Linked DNA regions of Tamandua tetradactyla. The protein of the gene in region 1 purifies or fractionates together with the protein of each later gene. This does not show direct contact. Links are inferred from orthologs where the notes say so. Each region holds a gene or a part of one and is shown on either strand. Other genes may lie near its edges. The genes, in order: POLR3H, POLR3K, POLR3C and POLR3GL.

What was found.
Region 2: the proteins of POLR3H (region 1) and POLR3K purify together in Homo sapiens (affinity purification with mass spectrometry; 3 studies listed by BioGRID and IntAct, with this or other methods). This does not show direct contact. The link is inferred for Tamandua tetradactyla from reciprocal best matches to the Homo sapiens genes POLR3H and POLR3K.
Region 3: the proteins of POLR3H (region 1) and POLR3C purify together in Homo sapiens (affinity purification with mass spectrometry; 5 studies listed by BioGRID and IntAct, with this or other methods). This does not show direct contact. The link is inferred for Tamandua tetradactyla from reciprocal best matches to the Homo sapiens genes POLR3H and POLR3C.
Region 4: the proteins of POLR3H (region 1) and POLR3GL purify together in Homo sapiens (co-immunoprecipitation; 4 studies listed by BioGRID and IntAct, counting the BioPlex papers as one, with this or other methods). This does not show direct contact. The link is inferred for Tamandua tetradactyla from reciprocal best matches to the Homo sapiens genes POLR3H and POLR3GL.

The regions. Positions count from the first base shown.
Region 1 is NC_135333.1:34,706,198-34,713,465, reverse strand, and holds the start of POLR3H (DNA-directed RNA polymerase III subunit RPC8), read left to right. Parts: upstream 1-4,259; 5' UTR 4,260-4,324; exon of another isoform or gene 4,325-4,568; 5' UTR 4,569-4,588; coding exon 4,589-4,699; intron 4,700-7,268.
Region 2 is NC_135349.1:57,276,699-57,284,644, forward strand, and holds the start of POLR3K (DNA-directed RNA polymerase III subunit RPC10), read left to right. Parts: upstream 1-4,987; coding exon 4,988-5,098; intron 5,099-7,946. Other genes in the region: RHBDF1 (inactive rhomboid protein 1), read left to right, coding at 281-375, 556-631, 699-799, 911-1,064, 1,233-1,652; SNRNP25 (U11/U12 small nuclear ribonucleoprotein 25 kDa protein), read right to left, coding at 2,710-2,767, 3,150-3,224, 3,598-3,703, 3,846-3,936, 4,534-4,575. UniProt on the Homo sapiens protein: Core component of RNA polymerase III (Pol III) which synthesizes small non-coding RNAs using the four ribonucleoside triphosphates as substrates. Can mediate Pol I proofreading of the nascent RNA transcript.
Region 3 is NC_135330.1:1,319,330-1,326,164, forward strand, and holds the start of POLR3C (DNA-directed RNA polymerase III subunit RPC3), read left to right. Parts: upstream 1-3,822; 5' UTR 3,823-4,181; intron 4,182-5,031; exon of another isoform or gene 5,032-5,118; 5' UTR 5,119-5,212; intron 5,213-6,278; 5' UTR 6,279-6,299; coding exon 6,300-6,446; intron 6,447-6,835. Other genes in the region: E3 ubiquitin-protein ligase RNF115, read right to left, coding at 3,473-3,574. UniProt on the Homo sapiens protein: DNA-dependent RNA polymerase catalyzes the transcription of DNA into RNA using the four ribonucleoside triphosphates as substrates.
Region 4 is NC_135330.1:1,432,047-1,439,596, reverse strand, and holds the start of POLR3GL (DNA-directed RNA polymerase III subunit RPC7-like), read right to left. Parts: upstream 3,001-7,550; 5' UTR 2,889-3,000; intron 1,705-2,888; exon of another isoform or gene 862-1,704; coding exon of another isoform or gene 1-861. Other genes in the region: ANKRD34A (ankyrin repeat domain-containing protein 34A), read left to right, coding at 1-861; LIX1L (LIX1-like protein), read left to right, coding at 3,828-4,095. UniProt on the Homo sapiens protein: DNA-dependent RNA polymerase catalyzes the transcription of DNA into RNA using the four ribonucleoside triphosphates as substrates. Specific peripheric component of RNA polymerase III which synthesizes small RNAs, such as 5S rRNA and tRNAs.

The DNA.
Region 1 (7,268 bases):
TGCTTTTGATAATTTAATTTTTTTTTGGAGTAGATAATATATTCCCATTATCCCAAACATTAAAGGCGACAAAGGGTATTTGGTACAAAATTCTCCCTCCCACCCTCTCCTCCCCCTCATTAAGTTTCTGTCCCTGATGCCAACCAATGTAATCAGTTCCTAGTGTATCCTCCCTGTGCTATTTTCTGCAGAAACCAAGACTTCTGTATATAAACTATGATTTTCCTCCCTTTTTTTACACAAATGGTAGAGTCACAGACACTCTATTCTGCTCCTGGCATTTTTACACTTAATATGCTCTGAATAGCATTCAATGTCATGCGAAGAATATTCTCACTCTTTTTCCTGACTCCACAGTATTCCATCATATGACAGACCATATTTTTTTTCAACCAGTTCTCTACTGGTAGACTGTCATTTGAGATGGGTTCTGCTGTCCTCTCCATTTTTCTGAGAGGCAGCGGAGGCACTGAAGGGTTCACTGACTTTTCCCAGGTTGTGTGGCCGTGGCGTGGGAACTCCAGGTCACTGTCCTTGACCCCTTCCCTCATTCCTTCCTCTTCCTGCCTTGATTAGCTTCCAACCCTTTTTCCTCTCTTATTCCGACGGCCTTGGCAATTATTTTGTTATCCCTTTGTGCGTTCAAATAACACGTATTCACAAGCCCCGCAGAGATGGAGGGGACATGACAGAGAAGTCCTTGTTATCGTGGAGCCTGTAGGCCACTGTATTTTGTAAACCACCTCAAACCCTGCAGAGATGACGTGGAGAATAAATGAGGTCTGGTCCTTGTTTTCACCAGTGAGTGAACCAATTGTGCCAACAAATCACTGTTGCCGTCTTGTGAGCTGAATACCCTGAGAGATGCCTGGAAATCCAAAACGCTCTTCAAGGCATGCCCCACCCCCCACCGCCTCCCCCAGCCTGGCCCTCCTCCAGTTTCCCACTCAGTTGAATGGCCACCAGCCGGCCAGAGGCTCCTCCCCCTTCCCTCCCCCAGGTCATCCACCCAGGGGCTGACACCCACTGAATACCTCTGGACTCTGCCCAGCACCTCACTCTCCACGGCCACCAGTCTTGTGCAGGCCTCCTTTTGCCAAGGCCACATAATAGCTTCCTCCCTGGCCTTCCTGTCTCCACCCAGCCCCCTCCCATCCACTCCCCCTCCGGCTTTCCAGTGTCATTTTCCTGTTTGAACTTTCCAGGGCTTCCCATGGCTACCCTCTGGATAGTGTACGTCATGGTGGCACAGGCCATTGGTTAGGGCTCTGGAGCCTGCATCCTAGCTCTGCCACTTAGTATCCGGGTGACCGTGAACGAGCGACTTTACCTCTCTTTGCCTTAGATTCTTGCCCTGTAAATGGGATAAAAGCCTCTACCTCATAGGGCCAGTGTGAAGATTAAATAAGTTAATACCTGTAAAGCACATAGAACAGTGCTTAGCATATAGTAAGTGCCCCATAAATGGTAGCAGTAAATATTATAGTGATAAGGCTAGGTTTCCAGCCTCACTGCTCATCAGTTCTCATCTCATGTGTTAATCAGCTTGTTCTAGTTTGCTAGCTGCCAGAATGCAATATACCAGAAACGGAATGGCCTTTAAAAGGGGGAATTTAATGAGTTGCTGGTTTACAGTTCTAAGGCTGAGAAAATGTCCCCATTAAAACAAGTCTATAGAAATGTCCAATCTAAGGCATCCAGGGAAAGATACCTTGGTTCAAGAAGGCCGATGAAGTTCAGGGTTTCTCTCTCAAGTGAGAAGGCACATGGCGAACACTGTCAGGGCTTCTCTCTCAGCTGGAAGGGCACATGGCGAACATGGTGTCGTCATCTGCTAGTTTTCTCTCCTGGCTTCTGGTTCCATGAAGCTCCCCAGGAGGCGTTTTCCTTCTTCATCTCCAAAGGTTGCTGGCTCGTGGACTCTCTGCATCTCATGGCTACATCATTCTGCTCTCTCTCACGCTCATTCTCCAAAATATTTCCTCTTTCATAGGACTCCAATAAACCAATCAAGACCCACCCAAATGGCTGGAGACATGTCGTCACCTAATCCGATTTAACAACCACTCTTGACTAAATCACATCATCCAGGGAGATGATCTCGTTACAGTTTCGAACATACAGTATTGAATAGAGATTATTCTACCTTTATGAAATGGGATTTATATCAAAACATGACTTTCCTTAGGGGGCATATATCCTTTCAAACCAGCACACAGCTGAATTACTTTTCGTTCCCTGAGAGCACCAGATGTTCTCTCTGCATCTGTTCCCTGTCCCCACCCCATCCCCAACTCTGATCTGAGGGTCCGGCCTCTCTTCCCTTATTGGATCCCCAATGGCTGGGCACACTGTATGTTGAATGAATGAATGAGTGACTGGGAAAAGCATCACATTTGGGTGCTGATGAATGAGTAAGAGTTTTCCAGGTGGAGAAGAGGCATACAGGATATATCTATAAAAGGGCCTGTTCCATTCATGGGGCTCCATTCTGGTGCCTGGAGGACAGAGGGGAGGCAGGCTTAGACGGGAGGGCTGGATAAGTCGAGACCTTTTTGTGCAGGCTAAAGAGTCATGAAATGAAGACTTTTGTGAAGATATGGAGGTGGCTTGCAGGAGAGATTGAGGTTGGGAGGCCAGGAGGTGTGGCTAAACTCCAACAGAGAAATGAAAAAGCCTGAACTAAGGTGTAGCAATGGGAATGGAATAAAGGGGGGCATTTGAGAGAAAAATTAATATTGATCTCTTAAACACCTTTGCTGAATACCTCTGAGGAATGATGTTGGGGGCTTGTGGGAACAAAGAGCTCAAGTAACATTTGCTCCTGCCCTCAAGAAGCTCAAATCCCAGCAGAGGTAGGATAACCTATAAATAAAAATATGCACATGCAGGGAAGGCCAAATTCGGTATCATCACAGCCAGTCTCATAGTCAGAGAGATCTCTATGCTTGCGAAATCAGCAAATTTAAGCACTGTGCATTTCAGAATGCTGGCCGTCTGTCTCAAGGATTTCTTTAAGTTCTCAAATTGTTGTTTTAGTCAAAACACACTTCAGTTTAGTTGCACACCCCACCAAGTTGTACATTTCTAACTTTTAGAGGCAGAGTGGTACAGAGGTTTAGATGGAAGCCTACCCCTTCTACTTGGCAGCCCATGATCCTGGACAAGTTCCTGAATTCCATTAGCCCATGTTAGTTATCGTGATGAAAATGAATGAGATTGGAATGGAGAGGGGAGATAAGATGGAAATCGCATAGCAGGTAGGGCAGAATCCTGCCAAAAGTTGTGAGCCACCCTAAAGGCCTTGGACTTTATTCCAAATTCAGAGGGAAGCTGCTGCAGTTGTTTTCCCCCAATTTATTATCATCTATTTTTTTTATTGTGGTAACATATATATATAACATAAAATTTTCTATTTTAACCACTTTCAAGTATAAATTCAGAGCTATTAATTACATTCACAATGTCGTACTACCCTTACAGCCATTGATCACCATAACTTTTCTATCACTCCAAACAGCAACTTTGTACCCATTAAGCATTAACTCCCCACTCCACTTTGACCCTACTGTACTTTGTCTCTATGAATTTGCATATTCTAATTAATCTTGCAATACTTGTCTGGCTTATTTCACTCAACATGATGTCTTCAAGGTTCATCCATATTGTCTCATGTATCAGAATTTCATTCATTTTTTTACAACTGAATAATATTCCATTGCATGGATATACTACATTTTTGTTTATCCATCCATCTGTTGATGGACATTTGTATTGCCACTTTAAAATTGAGATAAAATTTATCTACACTACAATGCAGATATCTCATTGGTTGAGTACCATGAGTTTTGACAGTTGTGTGCATCTGTGTAAGCACCACCTAAAACCCGACGAAAAACATTTCCATCTTCCCACAAAGGTCCGTGGTGCCCCTTCGCAATCAATTCTCATCCCCAGAGCACTGAAGGTTTCAAGCATATTATGTTTGCGTTTTGTAAGGATCACTCTGGCCGCAATGCAGAAGACAGTTTGAGACCGCCCGGGAGGGTGCGGCACATCGCAGGCGGGAGGAGAAGCGATCGGGGAGCCCGGAGGTCGCCTCGGAACCAGAAACCGGGGTCTGAGGGTTCCCAGCTCCCAGCGGACTGAAGGGGAGGTGCCGCTCACACCACGCCCCCGGCCCAAGCCCCGCCCCGTCCAGCGCACGCAGCCTGTAGGTAGCCCCGCCCCGGGTGCGGGCGGGCAGACGCTTCCTATTGGTCTGCTCTCCGGAAGGAACCAGATTCGGGTTCTTGAGCCCAGCGGAGCGGCCGCGGGTTGCGCGGTGCGTGTTTGCGGTGCGTGGTGGTGGCGGGGGTCGTGTGATCCGAGCGCGGGCCGCCAGGTGCGGCCCTTCCGCTGGGCCTCAGTTTCCTCGCATTGCGGGAGCGGAGCCTGACCAACCCTTCGGGCCACCTTGCCGGCCTGGGAGTGGGGAGATCGTCTCAGCTATTGGGAAGGATCGGAGCGACCTCGGGGGTCCCCACCTCCTCAAGGTCCCCGTGCATGATCGACCCCGCCGTTCCCAGGGCCCCCAGCGGTGGCCGGGATGTTCGTCCTGGTGGAGATGGTGGACACCGTGCGGACCCCTCCATGGCAGTTTGAGAGGAAGCTCAACGACTCCATCGCCGAGGAGCTGAACAAGAAGTTGGCTAACAAGGTGCTGGGCCAGCGGGGTCGCGGGCAGGTCTGTGCACGGGAGGGCCCAGCACTTCCCGGGCTAGATCATGCCCAAGGTCGGCATTGGGCAAAGAGCTGGACGTCTCTGAGCCCGGGTTTCTTTGTCTGTAAAAAGGGATGGGGTCATCCTTACTGCACAGGGGAGTTGGAGGGGACCAAAGAGAAAATGGGTTTGAAAAAGGGCTTTGAAACTGGAAGGTGCTGGATTCCACGCTTCCAACTTACTTTGCAACTTTGGGCAAGTCACTTACCTTCTCTGGGCCTTAGTGTCCATTTGTAAAATGGAGATAATAAGGGTTATCTTACCAAGAGTCACATTGTTTTTGTGTATCATAGAGGTAACAGGTGTATCCATTCCCTCCTGCAGCAAGGATTTGCACACCTTCTGTGTACTAGGCCCATTTATCTTAGTGCCCTCTGCCTTTTCTGGAGTAGCCCCCCACCTTAGTTCTTCTGTGTCAGCACCCTCTTTCCTTCTTAGCACTTACCACATTGTTATTTTCTTCTTTCTTTATTTATTTGGTTATTTTTTTTCTCTTTTCCTTCCCATGAGTGTTGAGACCTTTTCTGTCTTCTTCCCTGCACCTAGTGAGAACCTGGCACAGAGTAGGCATTCCAGATTGTTGATTGAATGAATGAAGCAGACAGGGTTCTGCCATATGGTCTGGTGGGGGAAGCAGACATGAATGAGAGGGTCTCACAGATGAATGTGTGTTGAGGTGAAGACAAAGACACTTGCCCACAAGCCTCTGAAACACAGGAATTCACTTGGAGTGAGGGTGACTGCTGCTTTGTTGAGGAGATGGTGCTGGGACTGAGATCTGATGGTGAGGGGGTGGCCTAATTAGGGGATTTGTCTTGGGGGCAGTAGGGGCCTGGTCAGGGAAAAGAGCTGTGCAGGCAGTGGAAAAAGCATGTGCAGAGGCCCTGTGGCAGGAGGGAATATAGTTCCTAGCATTGCATGGCAGAAGCTGGTGCAGCTTGGGCAGAAGGGAAGTGGGGGTGGGGTGGCGAGGCAGGCAGGAACAAGTTTACAGGATGCAGAACACACCATCAGGATATTGTTTTTATTTTTTAATTTTTTATTTTTTTGCATGGGCAGGCATTGGGAATCCAACCCAGGTCTCCGGCATGGCAGGTGAGGACTCTACCTGCTAAGCCACCTGGCCCGCCCAGGATGTTGTTTTTAACCTGCAGAGCAGTGGAAGGCAGTGGAGAAAAGAAAGAAGAGAACTATAGACTTTAGACAGGAGGCAGGACCCTTTAGTAGAGGCTGAGGACACAGGAGGGGTGTGTGCAGATGTGGGGGGCTGTTAGGAGGTGGGGAGGACTCTTGAGAACTTAGTGGATGGCTTCTGTTTCCTTTGTGACGAAGAAGGTGAGGGGACCTGTGGGGGGGTCGAGGTGTGAGCATCATGGAGGGAGAAAGTCCAAGAAGGGAACCTCATCCCTTTGGGGCATGGCTCCTTCAACATTTGGTGAAAGGTGAGAGACAAATTTTTCTGTATTTGCATAATCGGAGGAGGCCTCCCAGAAGAGGTTCCACAAGCTAGGGCACAGATCTCCATGTGCTTCCAAAGCCCGTGCACTCTGCGTCCTTATGGTGGAGAGGTCTGCCCACCTAGCTGAGTTCCCCAAGTGCCTTGCTAATCCCTGAGCATCCCTACAAAAACTCTGATGGGGTTGACACGGTGCTGGTGAAGGGAAGCAGGCACTGAGTGGCTAGTCATCGGGGTGGGATGGGCACCCCCACCCCAATGGAAGCCTGGTAGTTCCATTTTTACAGATGGGGAAACTGAGGCTCAGAAAGGTGAAGTGACCCTTTTGGAGGTCAAACAGTGAGCAGTGGAGCTGGGATTGTTCCTGGATCTGTCTTGTCACCCTGTTCTCTGCCAGCCTTCAGTCCATGTGGCCATATCTGTGGGCCCAAGACTGTGGACAGAACAGAGATTAGCTGCAGTTCTGAAATTCGCTGGGCTGTGAGGCTCTGCCTGGCTTTGGGGACATTGGGAAGTGTAGGTGTAGCCAGGAATCTGTCTTCTGCCCACCCTTACTAGTAAGAGTAATTATCATTAATTGACAATTATTAGTTAATAGCATGTGAGACATACATGGTGTTTTAGTTTGTAAGCTGCTGGGGTGCAATATACCAGAAATAGAATGCCTTTTTTTTTTTGGTATGCTGTATGTTGGGGGTCACATTTCATTCTTTTTCCATATATCTTTTCATTCTTTTTCCAATAACTATCCTGTTATTGCAGTGCCATTTGTTGATTTGTTGGGGGGGATAAGGGGGAAGTGCATGGGCTGGGAATTGAACCCAGGTCTCCCATATGGCAAGCGGGTATTCTACTACCTGTGCCCCTGGAATGGCTTTTTAAAAAAGGGGGAATTTACAGTTCTAATGCCATGAAAATGTCCAAATTAAGGCATCCGGGGAAAGATACCTTGGCTCAAGAAGGCGGATGATGTTCAGGGTTTCTCTCTTAGCTGGAAAGACAGGTGGTGATGATCTCTGCTGTCTTTGTCTCCAGATTTCTTCAGTGGCT
Region 2 (7,946 bases), on another chromosome or scaffold:
GCCCCAATCTCAGCAGCACTCACGGACCCAAATGCCAAAGCCCTGGGCTTCACCCAGGCTGGCCCCCTGTGCCTGAGCAGGTGAGCTTTGCACTCGGGAGGCCACGCAGCACTGTTGCAGTTTGACAGATGGGCCAACTGGGGCTCAGGGCGCAGTGGCCTGCTTGAAGCACTGGGAGGCCTGTGAACCTGCCCCCTAACTTTGTTCCCTGCTCCAAGCATGGTTTGGGGCCCAAGGCTGGGGACAGCCCTGACCCACCTCATCCCCACCTGCGACCCAGATCTGCACCAAAAGCAGCGCCGGAAACCACACCAACCACCCGCACATGGACTGCGCCATCACAGGCCGGCCCTGCTGCATCGGCACCAAGGGCAGGTGTGTGGTGCACATGCACAAGTGGGCCCTGGGCTCAGAGCATGGCCTTGGGGCTGGGCCCTCCCTCACTCACCTGAAATTCAGGCAGGATTCCAAGGGGACCTGGGCGAAGCTGGAGGGTGGGACGGGAGCAGGCCCCCTCTGCACAGTGACACCCTCTACTGCGGCCTGACTTTCCAGGTGTGAGATCACCTCCCGGGAGTACTGTGACTTCATGAGGGGCTACTTCCACGAGGAGGCCACACTCTGCTCTCAGGTAGGCCTCAGGTGGGTGGGCGGGGGTGCCCCTTCCCCACTCCAACACTGATGGCTGCTCTGGGCAGGTCCACTGCATGGACGACGTGTGTGGGCTCCTACCCTTCCTCAACCCTGAAGTGCCCGACCAGTTCTACCGCCTGTGGCTGTCACTATTCCTGCACGCTGGGCAAGTGCTGCCGTCGGGCTGGGCAGGGCTGGACAAGTGGGACCAGGGGCTGGGATGGGGCCAAGGTGGCCCGGACACCCTCCCTGCTGAGTGCCTCGCTCCTGCCCGCAGGGTCCTGCACTGCCTGGTTTCCATCTGCTTCCAGATGACCATCCTGCGGGACTTGGAGAAGCTGGCAGGCTGGCACCGCATCTCCATCATCTACCTGCTAAGTGGCATCACTGGCAACCTGGCCAGTGCCATCTTCCTGCCATACCGGGCCGAGGTGAGCTGTCCCCTCAGGGCGGGGACCCTCTGCTGGGCTCTGCAGTCCTGCTGTGCTTCGGGCCATGTGAGGTGGCGCTTGAGATGAGGCCCGGGGCACAGGGCATCTGCTCAGCTGGGATGGGCCCGGGAATGCCACAGCCAGCTCATGGCCGCCCTGCTCTCCCAGGTGGGCCCAGCGGGCTCGCAGTTCGGCATCCTGGCCTGCCTCTTCGTAGAGCTCTTCCAGAGCTGGCAGATCTTGGCGCGGCCCTGGCGTGCCTTCTTCAAGCTGCTGGCCGTGGTACTCTCGCTCTTTACCTTTGGGCTGCTGCCTTGGATCGATAACTTTGCCCACATCTCAGGCTTTGTCAGCGGCCTCTTCCTCTCCTTCGCCTTCCTGCCCTACATCAGCTTCGGCAAATTCGATCTGTACCGTAAGCGCTGCCAGATCATCGTGTTCCAGGTGGTCTTTGTGGGCCTCCTGGCCGGCCTGGTGGTCCTTTTCTATGTCTACCCTGTCCGCTGCGAGTGGTGCGAGCTCCTCACCTGCATCCCCTTCACCGACAAGTTCTGTGAAAAGTACGAGCTGGATGCGCAGCTCCACTGAGCCAGGCTGCAGGCTGGCCTCCCAGCAGGCCGGAGACAGGAGGCACGCACGCCCCAGCTGTGCAGGCTGTGGACCTGCTGCCTCCGAGCCGGACTCGATGTTCTCCACACACACACCTCGGTGCCTTGTTTAACCCCTCGTGCTATTGGGGTTTATTACCAGTTCTTGCAACTACCTTTTAACTAGTCTCTTGACGACCACCTCATGTGGCCAATAAATGGACTGGGAGCGTTTTAGCTGCCACTAACTTACTATGAATTGTCTCTTCCTTTCTGGTTTCTGGCTGGGCAGCCAGTGAGGTTCCCCAGCCTCCAGGGCCCTCGCCTCCAATGTCCAGTTCCCCAGGACAGGCTCTCCCAGTGAGGTCACAGTGAGGTGAGGGTGGAGCAGGACTGCAGGGACCCGCTGGCATGCCCTCGCCCTGCGGGGGCGCTGCCCCACCTCCCTGCATGTCCAGCTGCTCGTTTCACCACCACCCCTCCACTGAGTCTGAGACTGCTGCTGGGAAAGCCTGTGGGGTTTCTGTGGCTGTATGCCCCACACTACCACTGTGGTCACCAGGACCCAGCCCTTACTCCCCCACTAGCTCAGACAGATGGTACCCGTCTTCTGTTCCCTCCCCACCACACAGGCAACGGGAACAGGGCTATATGGTCGGGGGAACAGGTGTGCAGTCTTGGGCCTCACCCCTCCTCATTCCCAGTCCCTCCTGCTTAAGGTACAGTTGCCTTTTTGAATTTTCAAACTAAAAAGCAGATTTATTTTGTATACAAAGCTGGGCCCACAGGCTTCTAGGATCCACCAGGCCATCGGGATGTCTGGGCCCAGGGAGGGGTCAGCTTGGCCAACCCAAGCAGGAGAGGAGTGCCTGGGCCTGGGCCTGAGCTGCCCATCCCAGAGGGCCCTGCTGACAGCCCCATGGGGGAGGGGGAGGAGGCAGAACCCACCTGGGGTGATGCCACCTCAACCTGCCTCTGAAAATGGACGGTGACTTAAGGGCTCTTTCCTGCAGAAAAAGCCTGGCCACCAGTGAACAAAGCTGCCCTAGTCCAGTGGTTCATTTTTGCCTCAGCTTTTTGATGAAGGAGACCTCATCCCGGTTCCGGATACCATAACTGAAAGAGAAGGAAAGAGGGCCGTGTTGGACCTACACAAAACTCCTCAGGGGCTCCCACCTGAGCTCCTGAGAGGCTCATCTAGGACAGTCCACATGTCCGTCCTCCCGCAGCCCCACTCTTCTCCATGCACATGCAGCCCCCCAGCACGCACTCCTCATGCTGGTGAGATCTGCAGTGCACTCAAATCTGCTCCTCTGCCTGTCCTCCACAACGCGGGAGGGCTAAGACCCAGCTCCCTGGAAGCACCCCAGGACTTCTGCTGACCCCACAGGACTTCTTGGGAAGGCAACAGCACCCACGTGCTCTTGGCTCTCCCCTAGGAGGGGTCCTGGAGGCAAGAACCAATCTTCCCAGTGGTGAAGATGCAGCCTGAACTTACTCTCGGAGCTTCTTCCTGTCCTCTGTGAGCTTCTCCCCTGCGGACGTCAAGTGGTACGTCCTCCACACGTAGGACCTGCGGGAGGGACGCAGGTGAATGCCTGCTGCCTCAGCCCTTTGGGACCCGCAGCGGCCTGCCTCTCCTTCTGTGCTATTCCTGCACCACGTGCGCCCCTCCAAGTAGCTCCAAGGAGGTGCTGCTCTCAAAAGACCAAACACCCTCGGCTGCAGAACCAGGCAAGGAAGGGAGGGGCTGCCAGCAGACAGCAGCACCACCAGGAGCCCAGATGAGGATGGCGCAGATGAGGAAGAACTGCCCGAGCTTCTTGGGGCAGGGAGTGCGTCCCTCGCCGCTTTACAGCAGCAGTGCTCACTTGGAGCTGGAGCTACTTCCCCGCCGGCCCACGCCTGCCTCCGAAAGGCTGCCCAGGAGCCACCACCCCACCTACCAGCTGATGTGCTGGATGCCGCCGTCCCGCTCCTGCTTGAGCTGCACGTATCTCTGGATGGCCTTCTTCAAGTCCAGGACCGTGGCGTTCTGCACGACGACCACAGCTGCCACCGGGGACACAAACGGGAGACCGTGGTGGGGACCGACTGTCAGAGCCCACATGCCCTGCCCACCCCTGCTAACAACAAGGCATCCATGCACCACACGTTGTCTCGCCACCTGGCCCTGTGAGGACGGGCCACTTACGCATGACTTCTCCATCCATCTTGCACACACGGACTGTCATTGCCTGTCCATATTCTAGTGCTATCTGGGAATTGACCTCTTCCAAAGTGACCTAGAAAAGACCAAGGGGTGTGTGGGGCCCAGCGCTCCTTCATTACCCCAAACAGCATGAAGGAGAACAAGCTGGCCGTGTCCACACAGTGGTCACCACGTTTTATGAAGGGTAGGGAGGGAAAGGGGGTCTTGCCTGTAAACTAGATTTCCCGCTTACTCGTGTTCCACCCACACATTTACGTTCAAGTTTCAGACTGGACAGAAGCGGTGGGCGTGGGGTGGGGGCCAGGAGTACAGACACAGGAGGATGCGCCCACTCCGGGTCCAGGCCTTTGCTTCCTACAGCCTAAAGGCTGGGCAGGAGAGGACGCCGGGCTGGTCGCTCCACCCGGAGGGCCCTCGGTCACCAGACAGGGCCAGCGTGCGAAGGGTAAGGGGCACCGGCACGCGCACGACCCGAGACGACGGGAGTGTAAATGCACCACTCATGGAGAAGTCAGCTCTGGACTTGTTTGTGCTTAAAGCCTGCCCACCGCGAAGGTTTTCTGTGCACTAACTGCGGCTTTTAAACCTGCTGCGACCGCGCGCCGCGAGCGCCGCCGAGACCCGCGCCCGGGGCCTCCGCCAGCGCGGGCACCTGGGCCCGCCCGCGCACCTGGATGGGGAGGTCGCACAGCAGCGGGTCCTGCACCACCATGGCGAGGCCCTCCTGGAACACGTCCACCGCCTCCGAGTGCGGCAGCGCCTCCTCCTCGTCCTCCTCGTCCTCCGGCGCCAGTGGGCGCGCCCCGACCCCCGCCTCGGCCAGGGCGGCGGGTGCTGGGAGCCGCTCCCGCAGGCTCGCGCGAGGGTGGCAGAGTGCGCACGCGCCGGGACCGCAGCGCGCAGAGCGAGGGAGGCAGGTCATTGGTGCATCTGGAAGACGGGCGGTCATCATAACCAATGACAACCGCAGGACAGTTTGCTGCCCGTCCCACAGGGCGCACGTAAGCGGCGTGTCTATTGGTGAGTTGAAGGACAGGCGGCTGCCAAGGCCAATGAAAGCTCGAGGCCTCGGCACCGACGGGTCCCGGAAGCTGGGGCCGTGGAGACTGCCGGGAGTCGCCGCCATGTTGCTTTTCTGTCCGGGTTGCGGGAACGGGCTGATTGTGGAGGAGGGTCAGCGCTGCCACCGCTTCGCCTGCAACACTTGCCCGTACGTGCACAACATCACCCGCAAGGTGAGTCCCGCAGGCCCGCCGCGCCACGGACACCGGCTTGGTCCCCGCCACCCCCCGTCAGCCCACAGCGCCCTTCCTCCGCTCTCCCCCAGCTTTGGGACTCCCGCGGCCTCCAGCCGCCTCGTACCCCAGGGCCGCCCCCAGGGGCGGGCGCAGCCGCGGCGGTACCCCGACCTTGCTCGCTCGTGCGGCCGCTGCGACGCGGGCCTCCTGGAGGACCCCCACCGCGCCGGGCCTTTGCCCGCTTCCCTCTCCCTGAGGAAGCGCCCTGCAGCTCCCCCGTTATGTCCTCCTCCCGTTTTATTTTTTTCCCCTAGGACTCACCTGCTAACATCCCATATAATTTTTTAAAATTTATTTATTTATTAATTTAAAAAAATTAACAAAAACAACATATTATTCCGTTCTACATATATAATCAGTAATTCACAATATCATCACATAGTTGCATATTATCATGATCATTTCTTGGAACATTTGCATCTATTCAGAAAAAGAAGTAAAACGAAAACAGGAAAAAAAATTTATGCATACCATACCCCTTACCCCTCCCTTTCATTGTTCACTAGTATTTCAAACAATCAATTTTAACATTTGTTCCCCCTATTGTTTATTTTTATTCCATATGTTCTACTCGTTTGTTGACAAGGTAGATAAAAGGAGCATCAGACACAAGGTTTTCACAATCACACAGTCCCATTGTGACAGCTGTATCATTATTCAATCATCCTCAAGAAACATGGCTACTGGAACACAGCTCTACATTTTCAGGCAGTTCCCTCTAGCCTCTCCATTACATCTCGGATAACAAGGTGATATCTACTTAATGCGTAAGAATAACCTCCAGGATAACCTCTCAACTCTGTTTGGAATCTCTCAGCCACTGACACTTTGTCTCATTTCGCTCTTCCCCCTTTTGGTCGAGAAGGTTTTCTCAATCCCTTGATGCTGAGTCTCAGCTCATTGGAGGCTTTTTTTTTTACTTTTTATTTTTCTCCTCTCTCTCTCCTTTTGTTTTAAAATTCTATAATATAACATATTTGTTGTATTTGGTTTGTAGTGTTTTATTGTGTTTTACATTTCATTAATAACATGATGTTGAGGTGACGTGAGGTACCCATTAGCTCTTTTGCCCATTTTGTAATATGCCCATTTTGTTTTCTTATTGTTGAGTTTTCAACACCTTTACTTTTTAGAGTAGAGCACGTTCGTGCTATCTCATTTTCCTTTTTTTCTTTTAAACAGATAAATACATAATTTATCGTTGTCTTCATTTCCATTAGAATACATTCCTGGCATTTGCACCTCTACCATTTCTAGAAGTGGGTATTCTATTTACGTGTAGGTTTCACCTCTTAGAGGTTAGAAATTTAAGAATAATTATTAATGCGATAATTTACTTAGGTACTGATTTTCCCTGAGCACAGGATTAAATATCCCAAACTAAATTTATAACAACATTTTGTTGCGGCTTCATATTTTACTTTCTTCTTTTAGTGAAACCTGGACTTTAAGATGTGATCTTAGAATCTGCAAGTACTGAAGCATAGTTGGATTGAAAATGAACTTCAAGCCATTTTACTGTATAATCAAGACACATCATCCCATCTAAGTCTTTACTTGATCTAAAGTCCTGATATTGATAAGCTTTCGTCTATTACTAATATCCCTTCTCATTAGTAAAATAAAGTGTTATCCGAGCAGATTATCTTAAGTTAAATGCATTTTAAGTTTCTCTAATTTTTTTCTTATCAGCTCTTAGTAATAATTTTTGCTTCCTGTAGGAGGGAGAGTCCTGGAGTGGTTTATTCAGTATACACTGTTATTAATTAATTAGCTCTGTAAACTTCATCAGTTAATTAAGTTCACCTTTCAGAACTTCCTGTTTCTGATCTATAATGTGAGGAGAGTCCTTAAGGTCTCTTCTAGTTCTAACATAAAATTATAAAGACCCAAATTATGTAAATTTGTACATTTATAAATTTCCTTTTAAAACATTTTCAACACAGCCTTATAAAACATGACACAATTTGTTACAAAATTGTGAAGCACTACAAATTACTTTCTTTGGAGTCTTACTGATAAAGTCAGTAAATACACTTATTTTATAAAGGCTTTTTCAAATGTATTGAAATAAAGCCGAAAACCAAGACACTGTAATTGATTATAATAAATATTGTTGCTAGGGACTATATAGATTTTTGCTGCTTAAGACATCTCTCATCACAAAATGATATAAAACCAGTGTTTTTATTAAATATGTAAACTTATCTGAAATTTATTTAGTATCTGATGCTTGTGAAAAATTCCTTTTAAATACATTTAATTTCAGTGGGAGAAAATAGAGAATCTTGATTTTCTTGACATCGTTGGTTATCTCATTCTTCTTAATGTTTGCAAACTACTTAACCATAAGCAATAGAGTCCAAAACTCGTGTAAACCCGAAGTTCCAAGGATGTCTGATAAAAGCCAAGCATAGACTGCTTCGGAAACTCTGTGCAGGGAGTGACCAGTTTACCCCACTAAGTGGTGCTCTTTGTTTTTGAAGTTTGGTTGTATTTGTTGCTCTCATTTTGAGTTATACCCTGGAGGGGTGGGAGAGGAGGAAGGCCTGTCTGAAGCCATTCTTTCTTCTGCTCTGTGCCTCTCTAATCCATACAGAGCTCTCCTCTACCTGTTGACTCCCACTCCTTGGCTCGGGGTGTGCCCTGATCACAGATTCTCTGAGTTCCAATGTGGTGCCAGGGACTGGTCTGTGAGAGCAGGAACTTTTATCTTCTGACTGTTGAAGGGAGGAAGTCTGGGAAGACACGAGGGCGCTTGTGGTTTGGTGCCCAGGGTTTATAC
Region 3 (6,835 bases), on another chromosome or scaffold:
GAGTGGTTGCCTGCCATGCCCTAGAACCCGGTTCAATTCCCGGTGCCTGCCCATGTTAAAAAAAAAAAAATCTCTTACTTTAAAATCCAAGTTTAGTACTCACCAAACTTTACTAAAATTATATTCACATTAATAGGAAAACATTTTTAGTACGAGAACTAAATTTCAAACTGGAGGATGGAACATCTGAAATCCGATAAGAAACAGAAACTACAGGGAAAAAAATGGAAAAATATGAGAAGGGACTCAGGGAACTGAATGATAATATGAAGAAGTAAATTCCAAAATCAATATTCCCTTCTAGGGACTCTTATTAGAGCTGACAGAAAACAGTACCATTGATACATTTAAATTTCACAATTCCCTTCATGATTTTCCCTAATTTCTTAATATCTCCTTTCTGAACAGAGGCTTTGTCCTCTTATTAGGAAGTATCCAAACCCAAGACACACGAAGCTGAGATGGATAGATCAGAACTAGTAGAAAGGCATGTTATTCCAACAAATTAAATTAATTTAACCATGCAGCTTAACCTCACAGCATTAGGCATAGAAGCTGTAATGAAAATTATTTTTCTTAATACAGAAATTAATTCTACAAAGTAATAGGACTAACAAGAAAAATGACAAACAAAAACCTAAAGGTAGATTCAGGTTTGAACCTTGGTTAAGCTGTTGCGATTGGCCACGCTCACTTCCAAATGTACCAAGAAATGACAGATTCCAAACACTGAGGGAGGTAAAAAAGGGAGGGAGCTGTGTACTTTTCCACCCAGTCTCAGTGAACAAGGGGAGACGGCAGGGGCCGAGATGGCGCCCCAGCAGGCACCCCACTGCGCGGGGAGGAAACCCACCCAGAAGTAGCTCATTAGAGGAGGTACAAATGCCCAGCCTCTGGCAGAGGAAGCGCTCCGGGTGATGCTGCTTCTTGTCACCCAACGGCTCCTACCCGCTTCAGATGCAAATTCAGTGAAGAGAGAGGAAAACGTTCTTCAAGGAGAGCTGGGTCTGGCCGGCCTCACACAGACCACAGGTTCCCGTAATGCACGTCCAGTTCCCCAAACATGCATGCCTAATGCAGGCTGGCTACTCACAGTGGGGGAATCTCAAATTCATATACACATATGAATACATATATGGATATATATATACACACGTTTTTTTTTTGTTTTTTTGGGCTACACATTAACTGAAGTAATCTCATAACAATCCTATTTACAATGGGTTCACATCACAGGAATGAATTAATATGAAGAACATGTTTGGAGGGTACATAACTTCAAGTCACACACCAATGAAGCTTACCTATATGACTCTATCCTCTATCTATGAAATAAACCCAAACAAAAACAAAGAAATCTATGTGAGAATGTTAACTTCAGCATATTTTTGAAATGGTCAAAAATTGAAAATAACCTCAATGTTTCTAGTAGGGACATAGCAATATATTATGGTTCTATCATATAGCGTTCTATGTGATCACTTACAAGAATGAGATCGTGTTCACCTATTAAGGAAAGTTCTCCAAGGTATATTAAGTAAATAACAAATTACCCCAAACAGTACCCAGAATATTATCTATAATATATGCTAGATTTAAATGATATATTTCATATAGAGATATACACATATATTTTCAAGTAATATTTCTTTCTACCAATTTTTTATTTAGATTGTTTTCTTTTTTTTATTAATTAAAAAAAAATTAACTAACACAACATTTAGAAATCATGCACATATGTTTTTAAACTTTTAAATGTTGAGTTTAGCCATGAAAATCAGGGCATTGACTTAGCAATGCTTGAGCTGGCTCTCCCTAGCAGAGACAGATTTGCACAGAACCAGCCACTTCATGGCCGGGTCATCCTTCTAACCAACTTCTCAAGATGACCATCTGGGCTTAAGGACACAGAGACGGCCAGGAAGCAAGATCAAACTCACTGGTTCATACACGAATCACGACTATAACCTTGACCTCAGGGCGCCTTTCCCTAGAAAAGCATAACAACGATATACTGCCTCTCCCCTCTTCCTCGACTCCCTCTTCCTTTTTCCACCTCACAGCCTAGGCTATTCTATCCCGTCTGAATTCACCCATCTCCTTCACAACCCAACTCACATGCCACACCTTCCTTGACCTCGCCAATGCTATCCTGTCCTCCTTTCTGCGAACATTACGGCATCTGTTACCCCATTCTCAGTCACCTTTGTTATTATGTTTTCCCTACCCATGCTGACTTTCCCACAAGATTGTGAGGTCCTTAGGGCAGGGACTGTAGATTCCTCCATGCCACCCCAGGACATGCCGCAGGAGGCCTTGTACGCATACAGCAATATTTATGATATTTAACTGTGTTCGGCTCAATTTCAGACAGGCATGACAGATACTAAATCAAAGTTAAAAGATCAAGAATTTCTCCTTCAGGCATTTAACAAGGCTTGAAAAATCACTTTTAAAATCCTCCAAATTACTGCTTTCTACAAGCACTTACGAGTGAAGACTTGAAGTGGTAAGAAGTGATAAGTTGTGAGAATTTGGACTAGATTTTCTCACTCTTAAAGGGAAGAGAGGGAACAATGACTTAAAACGTGGGAACAACGAGGCCGTAAAGTTCAGCAAAGCATCCTATCTGACAACAGGTCGAGGGTTCCCCGCATACTGGTGGATGCAGACTCCCCTCCACAGTGAAAGAGCTCTGCAAGTTCCAGCAGCACCGCTCTTCCCAGCTGAAACATGGAGAAAGGAAAACAAACAAAACCCACATGTATACAGCCAAATCACAGGCAAAGCTCAGCGTGCACATGCAGCACATGCGGCTTAATGGGTTAGCCGGACCCGAGCCCTAACCGCAGTCAGCCTCCAGGCCAGCGAACCCCGGGCCTGGACCAGAGGCAGCCCCCGCGACCCCCGAGGCCCGCTCTTCGCCGCGGGTCCCCGCAGCAGCTTTTCCGGGCAGGCGCCAGGGCAGCTGGCCGCCGCGGGGACGCCTCCTCCCGGCGCACACCCACCCCGGGGGCCAGAGCCTCGCGGGCCCCACGCGCCGACAGCGCCGTCTTCCGGGGAGCGGGCAGGGGCGCGCCGAGGACGCCGCAGGGGCCCCACGGGCCGAGCTGCAGCGCGGCCCCCGGTCACTCCGCTCAAGCGGGCGGGAGCGCGCGGCCGCCGTCGGGGCGCTGCGGTCCTCGGGCCCCTCGGCCACCAGGGCCCCCTGAGTCCCTGCTCACAGCCTATCCTTCAATTCCCTGAGTCCCTGCTCGTCCCGGGTGCGGCCTCCCCCCGGCGGGTGCGGGACGCAGCGGCACGTGGACAAGAAGCCAGGAGCGCGGCGGGCGGGAGCCGACAGGGCCGAGCGCGGCGCGAAGGTCATCGCGGGAGGAGAGGCGGCGACGCGCGCCCAGAGCCTGCGGAGGAGGACGCCGCCTCGGGGCCCCGCGGGAAGGCCGGGCGGGCGGGGCCGGGGTCGGGCTCTTACCGGCAGTTTAGGGCTGACCTCGCCCTTGCAGAAGTGGCAGAAAAACCGGTGCGCGGCTACGGCGGCGCCTGCGCCCGCCCCGGCCGCCGAGGCCTCCGCCATCTGTCCTCTTCCCCGCGGCCGTCCGAAGGGCAGCGGGCCCGTCCCTCCCCAGCCGCTATCTCCAGCCGCGGCCGCCGTCTCCTCAGGGCGCTGGGCGACCCAGCCACGGCGGTCACGTGAGCCCGCCAGGCCGCGGCCTCCCAGCACCAACGAGACACCGGGAGGAGAGTCCTCAACCGAGGCCCGCCCCCAGCACCAACGAGACGCAGGGAGGAGCGTCCTCAGCGAGGCCCGCCCCCGACATCGACGAGATGCCGCCAAGAGCGTCCTCGGCCGAGGCCCGCCCCCAGCACCAACGAGGCGCCGGCTGGAGAGTCCTCAGCCGAGACCCCACCCCCCAGCACCAACGAGACGCAGGGAGGACCGTCCTCAGCCGCGGCCCGCCCGCCGCCTTAGCCGGCCTCTTTTCCAACGAGAAGAAAGGAAGAGCGTCCCCGGAAACCGCAAAGCTGCGGGTAGAGCGGACGGCGCTTTTACACCGGGCGGGTTGGTTGTTTTGCAGGAAGGGCCGGAGGCCCCGATTTTCCTGGGCTCAGTCGCGTGAAGAGGTGGAGGGTTACTCGTCGCCGTCCCTAGGTGGGCGCCCCTGGACTGCAGCGACCCCGAGGTTAGTGGAACCAGGGCCCCGCGGGAAAGAGTGGAGGGTCCGGGTGGGACCCCTCCGCGGCCTCTCCGTGGGGTGCAGGGCCCGGGCGGGACCCCCCCGCGGCCTCTCCGTGGGGTGCAGGGCCCGGGCGGGACCCCTCCGCGGCCTCTCCGTGGGGTGCAGGGCCCGGGCGGGACCCCTCCGCGGCCTCTCCGTGGGGTGCAGGGCCCGGGCGGGACCCCCCCGCGGCCTCTCCGTGGGGTGCAGGGCCCGGGCGGGACCCCTCCGCGGCCTCTCCGTGGGGTGCAGGGCCCGGGCGGGACCCCTCCGCGGCCTCTCCGTGGGGTGCAGGCTTCGGGTGGGACCCCCCCCGCGGCCTCTCCGTGGGGTGCAGGGCCCGGGCGGGACCCCTCCGCGGCCTCTCCGTGGGGTGCAGGGCCCGGGCGGGACCCCTCCGCGGCCTCTCCGTGGGGTGCAGGGCCCGGGCGGGACCCCTCCGCGGCCTCTCCGTGGGGTGCAGGCTTCGGGTGGGACCCCTCCGCGGCCTCTCCGTGGGGTGCAGGGTTCGGGTGGGACCCCTCCGCGGCCTCTCCGTGGGGTGCAGGCTTCGGGTGGGACCCCCCCGCGGCCTCTCCGTGGGGTGCAGGGCCCGGGCGGGACCCCCCCGCGGCCTCTCCGTGGGGTGCAGGGCCCGGGGCCCCCAAACCTGCGCACCCTGTGGCGGCCGTGTCCGGTGACGCCGAGGCTGCGGGGCAGAGACTCCGCTTGCGAAGAATGTGGAGGAATCGGTGTAAACCAGCGTTTGGTGCAGAGTGTGGCACGAGGGAGTGACCACGTAATCGATCAGTTGTGCTTGTGTTTATTTTCTCAGGGAATAGAATTTGCGGAATTATCCTATTTGAAATACCACGTTGAGAAGCTCTCCTTTACCTTCTAATTGCGTCTTCTACACTGGCAGGTCTTTCATGGAGTGGGAATGATCCTGCCTGTTCACCGCGTGTGTCGTGAACACTGGTCTTAATTTTTCCAAGCAATGAAGTAAAGAATCTGAGGTCTGTGACGCGTCACAAAACTTTATATAATTAAAAAGAGTTAGAACCATGCGTAATCCCAAAAAGATAGGTTTGATGTATAGTCTTCCTGTCTTTTCCTTTTTCCTGTGCATACGTTTTTCTTTTTGTTTTTAAAGCAATTGAACTTTTTATTAGTAAAACTGTAGGTTTAGAGAAAAGTCTTGCATAAAATGCCGAGCTCCCATATACCCACCCTCCAGTTAGTAACACCTTGTATTAATGTGGTTCCTTTGTTACAACTGATGAAAAAATATTATGATTATACTACTAACTATTGCCCATGGTTTATATTAGGGTTCATTGTGTTGTGCAGTCCTATCTTATTGTGGTTTTTTTTAAAAAAATTTTGTTCTAGTAACTTACAGACAATCTAAAATTTCCTCTTTTGAACACATTCTTATATATAATTCGGTGCCGTTAATTCCATTCACAATGCTGTGCTTCCATGACCACCATCCGTTACCAAAACTTTTCCATCACCCACGTAGGAACACTGTCCAACTTAGACATTAAGTTCCCTCCCCCTAGCTTATCCCTGGTAACTTAAATCCTAGTTTCTGATTCTGTGAATTTGCTTATTTTGACTTTCATATTAGTGAGATCATGTAATATTTGTACTTTGTTATCTAGCTTATTTCACTCTTGAGTTTTTAATAGACATTTTGTTTTGTAACTAGCTCTTTTGACTTAATGCATTATAGCCAATTTTATATGCTAATCAATATTGTACTATATCATCTTAAATGTTATAGTATTCCATTGTATGGGTAGACCCTAGTTTATTGAACAAATGCCTTACTAGACATTAGGTTGTTCAGTTTTTCACTGAATAAAGAAACGTACAGTGACATCTTTTTATAGTACGCAGAGTGAAACTGTCAGGTTGAAGGTGTGCCAGAATGTAAGGCTTTTGCTGGATTTTACCAAATTGCCCTCCAGAAAGAGTACACGAATTTATACTCAGTGGCTCTACTCCCAATAGGAAAGAAAAACTTTCTGTGCTACTATCATTAATTGTGTTCTCCCCCCCCCCCTTACTTTCTAGTTTTGAAATCTCCCCGTTACAATGACTCAAGCAGAAATTAATCTGTGCTCTTTGTTGCTGCAAGAGCACTTTGGAGAGATAGTAGAAAAAATTGGAGTCCATCTAATCAGAACTGGCAGTCAGCCACTAAGAGCAATTGCCCATGACACAGGAACATCGCTGGATCAGGTCTGTTTAGATGGCATTAATTTGCTCTTCTCTAACCTACCTTAAAATATTCTTCCCCAACCCAGAAAATGAAAAAGCTTGCCCTGGAATCAGTGCAGCTTTTTTTTTATTTGTGGGAAAGAGGGTGGGACTTAGGCACCAAACTTCTCTTCTTAGGGAATTCCTAGTTCATTGTGTCTTCCTAGGCAAACCCTTCACCTTCCCTTGCCAACCTCATGTACTCAGGACGGTTTTGTTCATCTCAGTACTACTTTTAAGGAATGAGGATGATAGAGGGAAAGAAAAGTGCTTTGAAGGATAAGGCTCAGAGGACAGATGAGCATCATAGCGAGGAATTTTTCCGGATTTCTTTCCTTGACATGTGATTCTTGTTAACTTTTCCAATTAAG
Region 4 (7,550 bases), on another chromosome or scaffold:
CGGGACGTCTTTGAATTCCCGCTCCCCAAGCCCCCCGATGACCCCTCCCCTTCCGAGCCACTTCCCAAGCCACCCCGCCACCCCCCAAAACCACTGAAAAGGCTCAACTCTGAGCCCTGGGGCCTCGTGGCCCCCCCTCAACCGGCTCCGCCAGCCGAGGCGAGGCCCGGGCTAGAGCGCCTGACGGCCGAGTTCAACGGCCTCAGCCTGACCGGCCGCCCCCGCCTCTCCCGCCGTCACAGCACCGAGGGCCCAGAGGACCCGCCTCCGTGGGCGGAGAAGGTGGCGGGCGGGGGGCCCCTCTCCCGGCGCAACACGGCGCCGGAGGCGCAGGAGCCCTGCCCCCCTGCAGGGCTGAGGCAGAAACTGAGCCGCATGGAGCCAGTGGAGCTCGACGGCCCCGGACATCTGTGCCCCGACTCGCCCGAGTGCGGCCGCCCGTCCCTGGAGCGCCGCAGATACAGCGCCTCCCCACTGACCCTCCCGCCCGCTGCCTCGGCCCCCTCCCCGCGCCAGTCCCAGGAGAGTCTGCCCGGGGCTGTATCCCCGCTGAGCGGCCGGAGGCGGAGCCCCGGGCTGCTGGAGCGGAGGGGCTCAGGGACCTTGCTCCTGGACCACATCGCGCAAACTCGGCCTGGCTTCCTACCGCCTCTCAACGTTAGCCCCCACCCCCCCATTCCCGACATCCGCCCCCAGCCCGGAGGTCGGGCGCCTTCGCTGCCCGCCCCTCCCCACGCGGGGGTGCCAGGCTCTCCCAGGGCCAAGCGCAAGTTGGTGCGGCGCCACTCCATGCAAACTGAGCAGATCCGCCTGCTAGGGGGCTTCCAGAGTCTCGGTGGGCCGGGGGAGCCGGGGCGCTGAGACACGGGAGAGGAGCCGGGAGGCTGGGGGTCAGGGCCTGAGGACTAGATGGGGGAACAGCTCGCACGCATTGCACAGGGTCACTTGCATGTGCTCATGGGCACGCTGCACGCACACGTGGGTAAACGTGTTCACAAGCACAGTACTATTTGTAGGAAAGGGTAATCTCTATTTACTGGGCCTATAGACCCATGCCTTCATGCCCTGCTCACTTCACACCTATATGAAATCACTTGTGTGCCCAGAGGCATGGCAAACCAATAAACACACAGGGCCACTTGTGCGAGGACTCCACACGGACCCCAAACTCGCTCGCATTTGTCAGAAGCAGTAGGGAGGTCCTGCCTATGGGTAGTCCTTGCTGTATTTGCCCTCCTGCTGAAAACGTCCCCTAAATGGCAACCCCCTGCTTTCCACGTGTGCCCTGTAACACAGGCGCCATCATGACTTTACACACACTCCCCTCTTCACAACTGCCCCACCCTGCTCTGCAGGCCTTGCTTTTCCAGGGTGGGCTCCCTGTTCACACACTGCGTCCAGCCCCATCCGCTTTTGAGGATTATCTTCTTCATTCTTCTTGGAGGTTTCCTGTGGTAACTCCCAACCTCACTTCTGCTGATGCTCTTCCTGCTCTCAGCTTCCCTTCTCAACTCCATGCTTTTCATGCCTGCCCTGTTCCCCCAACTAATACACCACAGCAGGTTGTCTCGTTTTCCCAAAGGGCAGGTTGAGCCCTTAGCTGCTCTTCTGTTTTTGTCTGAGCTTATGAACACCCCCACAGGTGAAGTGGGGGGCAATCCTAAATCACTTCTCTCTCCACTTGACATATCAAATAAAAGTGTTCAGAAGTCTCTGCTTTGTCACTCTTCTGCCTGGGAGTGGTAAACATGGGATATGAGAAATGGTGGGGAGGGAGGGTGATGCTGACCAAAGCTATAATGATCCAGGAGATATTTAGAAGTTCCAGCCACCTACTTTCTAGGGGGCCACATGACCAACCGTGTTTGTAGAAGGAAAAGTAAGTGTTCTGAAGGCTTTAAGTCATTTAACTGGGTTTTCTTCCCCCCATTCTCTCCCACATCCCTTCCCAAGCTCTTTAACTTAGATCCCTACAGCTCTGCCCTCAACAGACACATTTCATTAGATTAAATGTCCCTCTTCCAAGCTTCCTATTTCTTGATCACTCCGTGCTTTTCCTTGGGGGTATCTCTTATTCATTTTCTTCTACTTCTGGCCTCTTTTTCCCCATTATTGATTTCTGAGTCACTGTAGGGCACAGTGAGAAAGAGAATAAGGGAGGTGGGGGTGGGGTGGAGAGGAGTACCTAGAATAATTTCACCTGTGTAAACATGACATGATGGTCAACTGACACTGGGTGTGCAGGGAGTGTGTAGGAGTAACCGAAGAAGCCCAGCCTTGGAGGGCCTATGAACAGGGTCACTGCGCTAATCTATCCTCTCAGTTGGCTGGGTTTTTACATATATTCTCTTTTCACTCTACTGGGAGGTGAAGGTTGTTGCCCATCCTACTTTTACTCTCTCCTCCAATTTAGGTCAAATGAGAAAGTCACTGAACAATGTGGTGTAGTGAAAATATCAAAATACTGGGAGTCAGAAGACCTATCGGTCTGAATCTCGCTTTGCCATTTCCTAGCTATTTGATATAGGGCAATTTATATAGTCTCTCTGAACGTCAGTTTACTTGTCCATAAAACAAAACTGAATTAGTGATTGAGATTATTAAATAAGACAATGCAGTAAAGCCCATCGCCTAGTGCCTGACGTAGAGCTTAAGAGTCAGCTCATTGTCAGTATCTTTCCTTGCTTTGTCTCTACCATCAATTGCGTGTGATCTTACACACCACTTCTCTGAGCCAGTTTCTTCATCTACAGCTGTCAAATGAAGTAGTCGGGCAATTACTTTTAAGAATCCTCTCACTCTGTCTACAGTTCTCCCCAGCCTTGTATCGACTCCTACTTTTTCTCTAAGCTCCACCCCAGGGGTCTGGCCCGCTTTCTCGTACTCACCACGGGATCCCCAAAGACCGGCCCAAGTCCCGCTTCTCCCTTGAAGAGGATGCAGCTTCCCCTCTGCGATTGGCCGCGAAGACCCTCCGCCTTCCGCGGTAACTCGCCTATGGCTGGCCTGGATCCGGCAGCCCCCGCCCCTCCTGATGACTGGCGTGCGGCCTGGCTTCTCCCCGCCCCCTCCCTGGTGACTGGCGTGCGGCCCGGCTTCTCCCCGCCCTCTCCCTGGTGACTGGCGTGTGGCCCGGCTTCTCCCCGCCCCCTCCCTGATGACTGGCGTGCGGCCCGGCTTCTCCCCGCCCCCTCCCTGATGACTGGCGTGCGGCCCGGCTTCTCCCCGCCCTCTCCCTGGTGACTGGCGTGCGGCCCGGCTTCTCCCCGCCCCCTCCCTGATGACTGGCGTGCGGCCCGGCTTCTCCCCGCCCTCTTCCTGATGACTGGCGTGCGGCCCGGCTTCTCCCCGCCCCCTCCCTGATGACTGGCGTGCGGCCCGGCTTCTCCCCGCCCCCTCCCTGGTGACTGGCGTGCGGCCCGGCTTCTCCCCGCCCCCTCCCTGATGACTGGCGTGCGGCCCGGCTTCTCCCCGCCCCCTCCCTGGTGACTGGCGTGCGGCCCGGCTTCTCCCCGCCCCCTCCCTGCTGACTGGCGTGCGGCCCGGCTTCTCCCCGCCCTCTTCCTGATGACTGGCGTGCGGCCCGGCTTCTCCCCGCCCTCTCCCTGATGACTGGCGTGCGGCCCGGCTTCTCCCCGCCCTCTTCCTGATGACTGGCGTGCGGCCCGGCTTCTCCCCGCCCTCTCCCTGATGACTGGCGTGCGGCCTGGCTTCTCCCCACCCCCGCCAGGCTGCTGCCGCCCGGCCCCGCCCTCCGCCCCTGGAGCTGGCCGGGCCGCTGGGCAGTCCCCTCGCCGGACTCCGGGCCGCCGCTCCCGCCGCGGCGGATGGAGACGATGCGCGCCCAGCGCCTGCAGCCCGGAGTGGGGCCCGGCGGGCGCGGCGCTCTGCGAGCTCTGCGGCCCGGAGTGACGGGGGCCGCGGCCGCCACGCCTCCTGGGGGCCCCCCACCCGCGCCGCCGCCCCCCGCGCCGCCGCCCGCGGCCCCCGGGCTGCCCTTGCCTCCGGGAGCGGCCGGCGGCCCCGCGGTGCTGCGCGAAGCGGTGGAGGCGGTGGTGAGGAGCTTCGCCAAGCACACGCAGGGCTACGGGCGAGGTGAGTGCAGGCCCTCGCCCCGGCAGCGCCCCCCGCCCCCCGCCCGCGCCCCGCGGCGTGGCCGTCGGGGGCTCCTTTGGGGCGGCCAGCGCGCACTCGTGCACCCCTTTACCGAGCGGCCCCCTCCTTCCCCTGCGGCCCCGCGCCCCCGCGCCCCGGCCGTCTTTTCTTCCCCGGCCCTCCCCCTTGTGAAGTGGGGCTTGTGTAAAGTGCTGTCTCAGCACCCCTCCCCGTCGAGGGCCAGGCCCGTGGTCTGGGCCGCTCAGCCTTATCTTCGATCCCGGACTTTTCTCAGTCGTGTCCTCGCGGACTGTCCCCAGCGAGCCCAGCGATTCCCCAAGCCCCCCGCTCCGTCACTCTCTCCTTAACCTTGACTTTCCAGTGCTTTTCCTACTTCCCTCGGCAACTTCCTGCACAACTTCAGGACAACCTGGCGCCTGCGCGCGCCACTCGGTAGCTGCGCCTCCAAATCTGGGCCCCCGGCGTGGCGCCCACCCCAGCCAAGTGTCTGCGCGCCCGGCCGCGCCCCTGGCCTCCGGCCGGCGGGCCCCGCGGTCCTGGCCCTTGCCCAGGAACTGAGCATAAAGCCCAGGCCCGGGCGCCCCGAGTGCTCACTTCTGTGGAGATGAGCCAGGCAGAAACTCTATTTCCATTAGAAATCTTCATCTTAGAGATGCCTCATTTGTACGGTTTCTGGCAAGGGGGATGGGAGGATTTTCTCTGTGGTTTTTATTTAACCAGTTTCTTTCTGAGCTGAAGTTTCAGATTTAGTGTAACGGACAAGGACTATCTGCTGAGGGGTGAGGAAGGCAGCTTTTAGGTCTGGAATTTTAAGACATCACTTCTGTCTGCTCGGCCTGGAAATGACAACGCCTTTGGCTTTCTGGTTTAACAATAATGCAGAGACACTGCAGGGCTGTCCTTAGATGGTGACCACTTGTTTTGTCTGAGAAAGCCCAGCTAAAGGGGCACGGGTTTTGGAGTCAGGCAGGTCTGGATTCAGTCCCAGATTACATCTTTGCCATCCTGTGTTCTTGGTGAAGTGACTCAATTTCACTGAGCTTCAGTTTCTTCAAGGGTTATGATTTGGATTAAATGACACATAATGGGTACTTACTAAATGATAACTATTATTAATATCTAAAATATATTGGTTTATATTTTCTTGGGAAGAACATATCTCATTTCCTCCCACTCTAAATCTGTACAGTGTAAACTCAAAGATTTGTATGAAAACAAAATTTTAGGTCCATTTTGCTATTTATATGTCCAGTGATTCATTTATGATCATTTTCCTTCATTTTTCATGTACTTTGAATTTCTACCATGGGGCAGGCACGCTGCAAGGTACTGGGGATGCAGTGGATGTGCTTTTGGAACTCACCGTGAGGGGATAGAGTTCTTTTTCTACTTTAGTTTCTGGTTTTTAGAGGACAATGTGATGGAACTGCCATCCACTGTGTCCTGCTTCAGATCTATAGGTGGAGGCCAAGGGACAGCCTCTGGTTCTGGGTATGGGCATGGCCAGGACTGGCAGTCTGACATCTGACCACTTCCTCTGGGGAAGATAAGGCATTTATTAAAAGTCTACAATGTATCCTTTCTTAGTTGTGTTACCTGGAAAGCCTCTAATCTGGACACTTTTTTCATTTCCCTAGAAAGGATGGGGAACAAGGGAGTTGTGCTGACATCGAGCAGTCAGTCGCGCTGTAGGCTGTGTGGAGACCCCTCCTCCAGCCCCCCACCTCCCACCGCAGGCCCTCCCATGATGCTCGCTTCCCGTTTCCAGTCTGGATATCCAGCCAGTACTTTGGAAGAGTTTGGCAGATAGTTAAACTTCAGGCAAGCGAATCTCTGCTGATTTGGCTTAGAAGTCCATCCCCACATGGAATCACTTATTCTGCTCCAATGAATAGGCAAAGCTGCCGTTGGCATGTCCCACACGCCCATGTGACTGATGGCATTTGGTGTTTGGGGGCTGGCTCTGCTCTCCTGAGTACAGCATATTTTGGCCTTTGCCCAGACCGTTTCTTGGACCAGCAGTGTTTTCCTGCACCGTCTTCAGTGCACACCCTCCATCTTCTTCACACTCACCCTTTACCCCATTCTTCTAGGATCTCAGCGTTTCTTCAAAAACTCTTCTGGAATTTCAGCTGTTTGTCCTTTTATTACCTATCCACTTCCAAAGATACACGCACAGCCCAGTATGCTGTAGGATCCTGATCAGTTCTGGCTGTGTGATCTTGCTTAATCTCTCAAGACCCCATAGTTTCATTCATTCATTCAACAAGTATTTATTGCTCAGCAGACGCAGTGGTGAACAAGACAGCTTCTCAGTCCTTAGTCTCGTGGAACTCACATCCACTTTCCAAACAAGTGTGAGGATGAATGGTGTAGTAAAGCAGGAGAGTACAACAGAAAGTGGGTTGACTTTGAAGCCAAACAAACATTGGTTCTAAACCCTGGTTCTGCCACTGTGGTGTGATCCTTTTTACTCTCTGTAAATGAGCATCGTCATACCTGTCTTGATGGCTCTGTGTGGATTGAACAAGACAGCGAATATAAAGTTCCCAATCCACGTGGTACCCAGTGAGTGGTTGCTGTCATTATGCATCTGGAAGTTGTTTGAAGACTCTGCACACGACAGGTATTGCTAACACTCTGCCTCCTTTGTCCCCCCTTTTCCACATGACATAGAGCCACCTTCTTGCAATGCCTGACAGCTAGCAATCCCCAAACCAGCATAACTGACTGAATGGCCAAGTCACTTTCCTTGCTGTGTAACTGCTGCATTGCTCTCTTCAAGCCTGATTTTTTGAATTATTGCCCTCTCTTTATGTTATAGTATGGCTACGTGATTAGAGGTTGTGCCCCGCTACTTTTCTAGGTTGAACAAGTGTCACTTGAATGGTATTTTCTGCTTTGTTGTCCTTTCTCCTCAGAATTACAGGCAGCTTCGCCTGAAAGTGACCGTGGGGTTAAAATGATTGGTCTGAATATTTCCAGTTTGGGAAACTGTGTTGTCCCCTATATTAGTTTCCCATGGCTGCTATAGCAAGCTGTCACAGACTTGGTGGCTTAAAATGACAGCAATTTATTCTCCCAGAGTTCTGGAGGCCAGACGTTTGAAATCAGTGCATGTGGACCACACTCAGGGTGCCGGCCATGCTTTCCCCAGGGGCTCTGGGGAAACCTGCTCTAACCTCTTCGGATCCTGGCGGCTGCTGGGACTCCTCGGCTTGTGACTGCGGCGCTGCCCTCTGTGGCCACTTGCCTCTCCTTCCCTGTTAGGATACTTGTGTCTGCATTCAGGGCCCACTCAGACCCCCAGGATAATCTCACCATTTCAAGTCCTTAATTTAATCAACCCTCAAAGTCCTTGCTGCCGGAGGTCACACTCGCAGTTCCGAGGACTAGGTTATGGATGTGTGGCACATACCAAAGTCCCTGTGCCT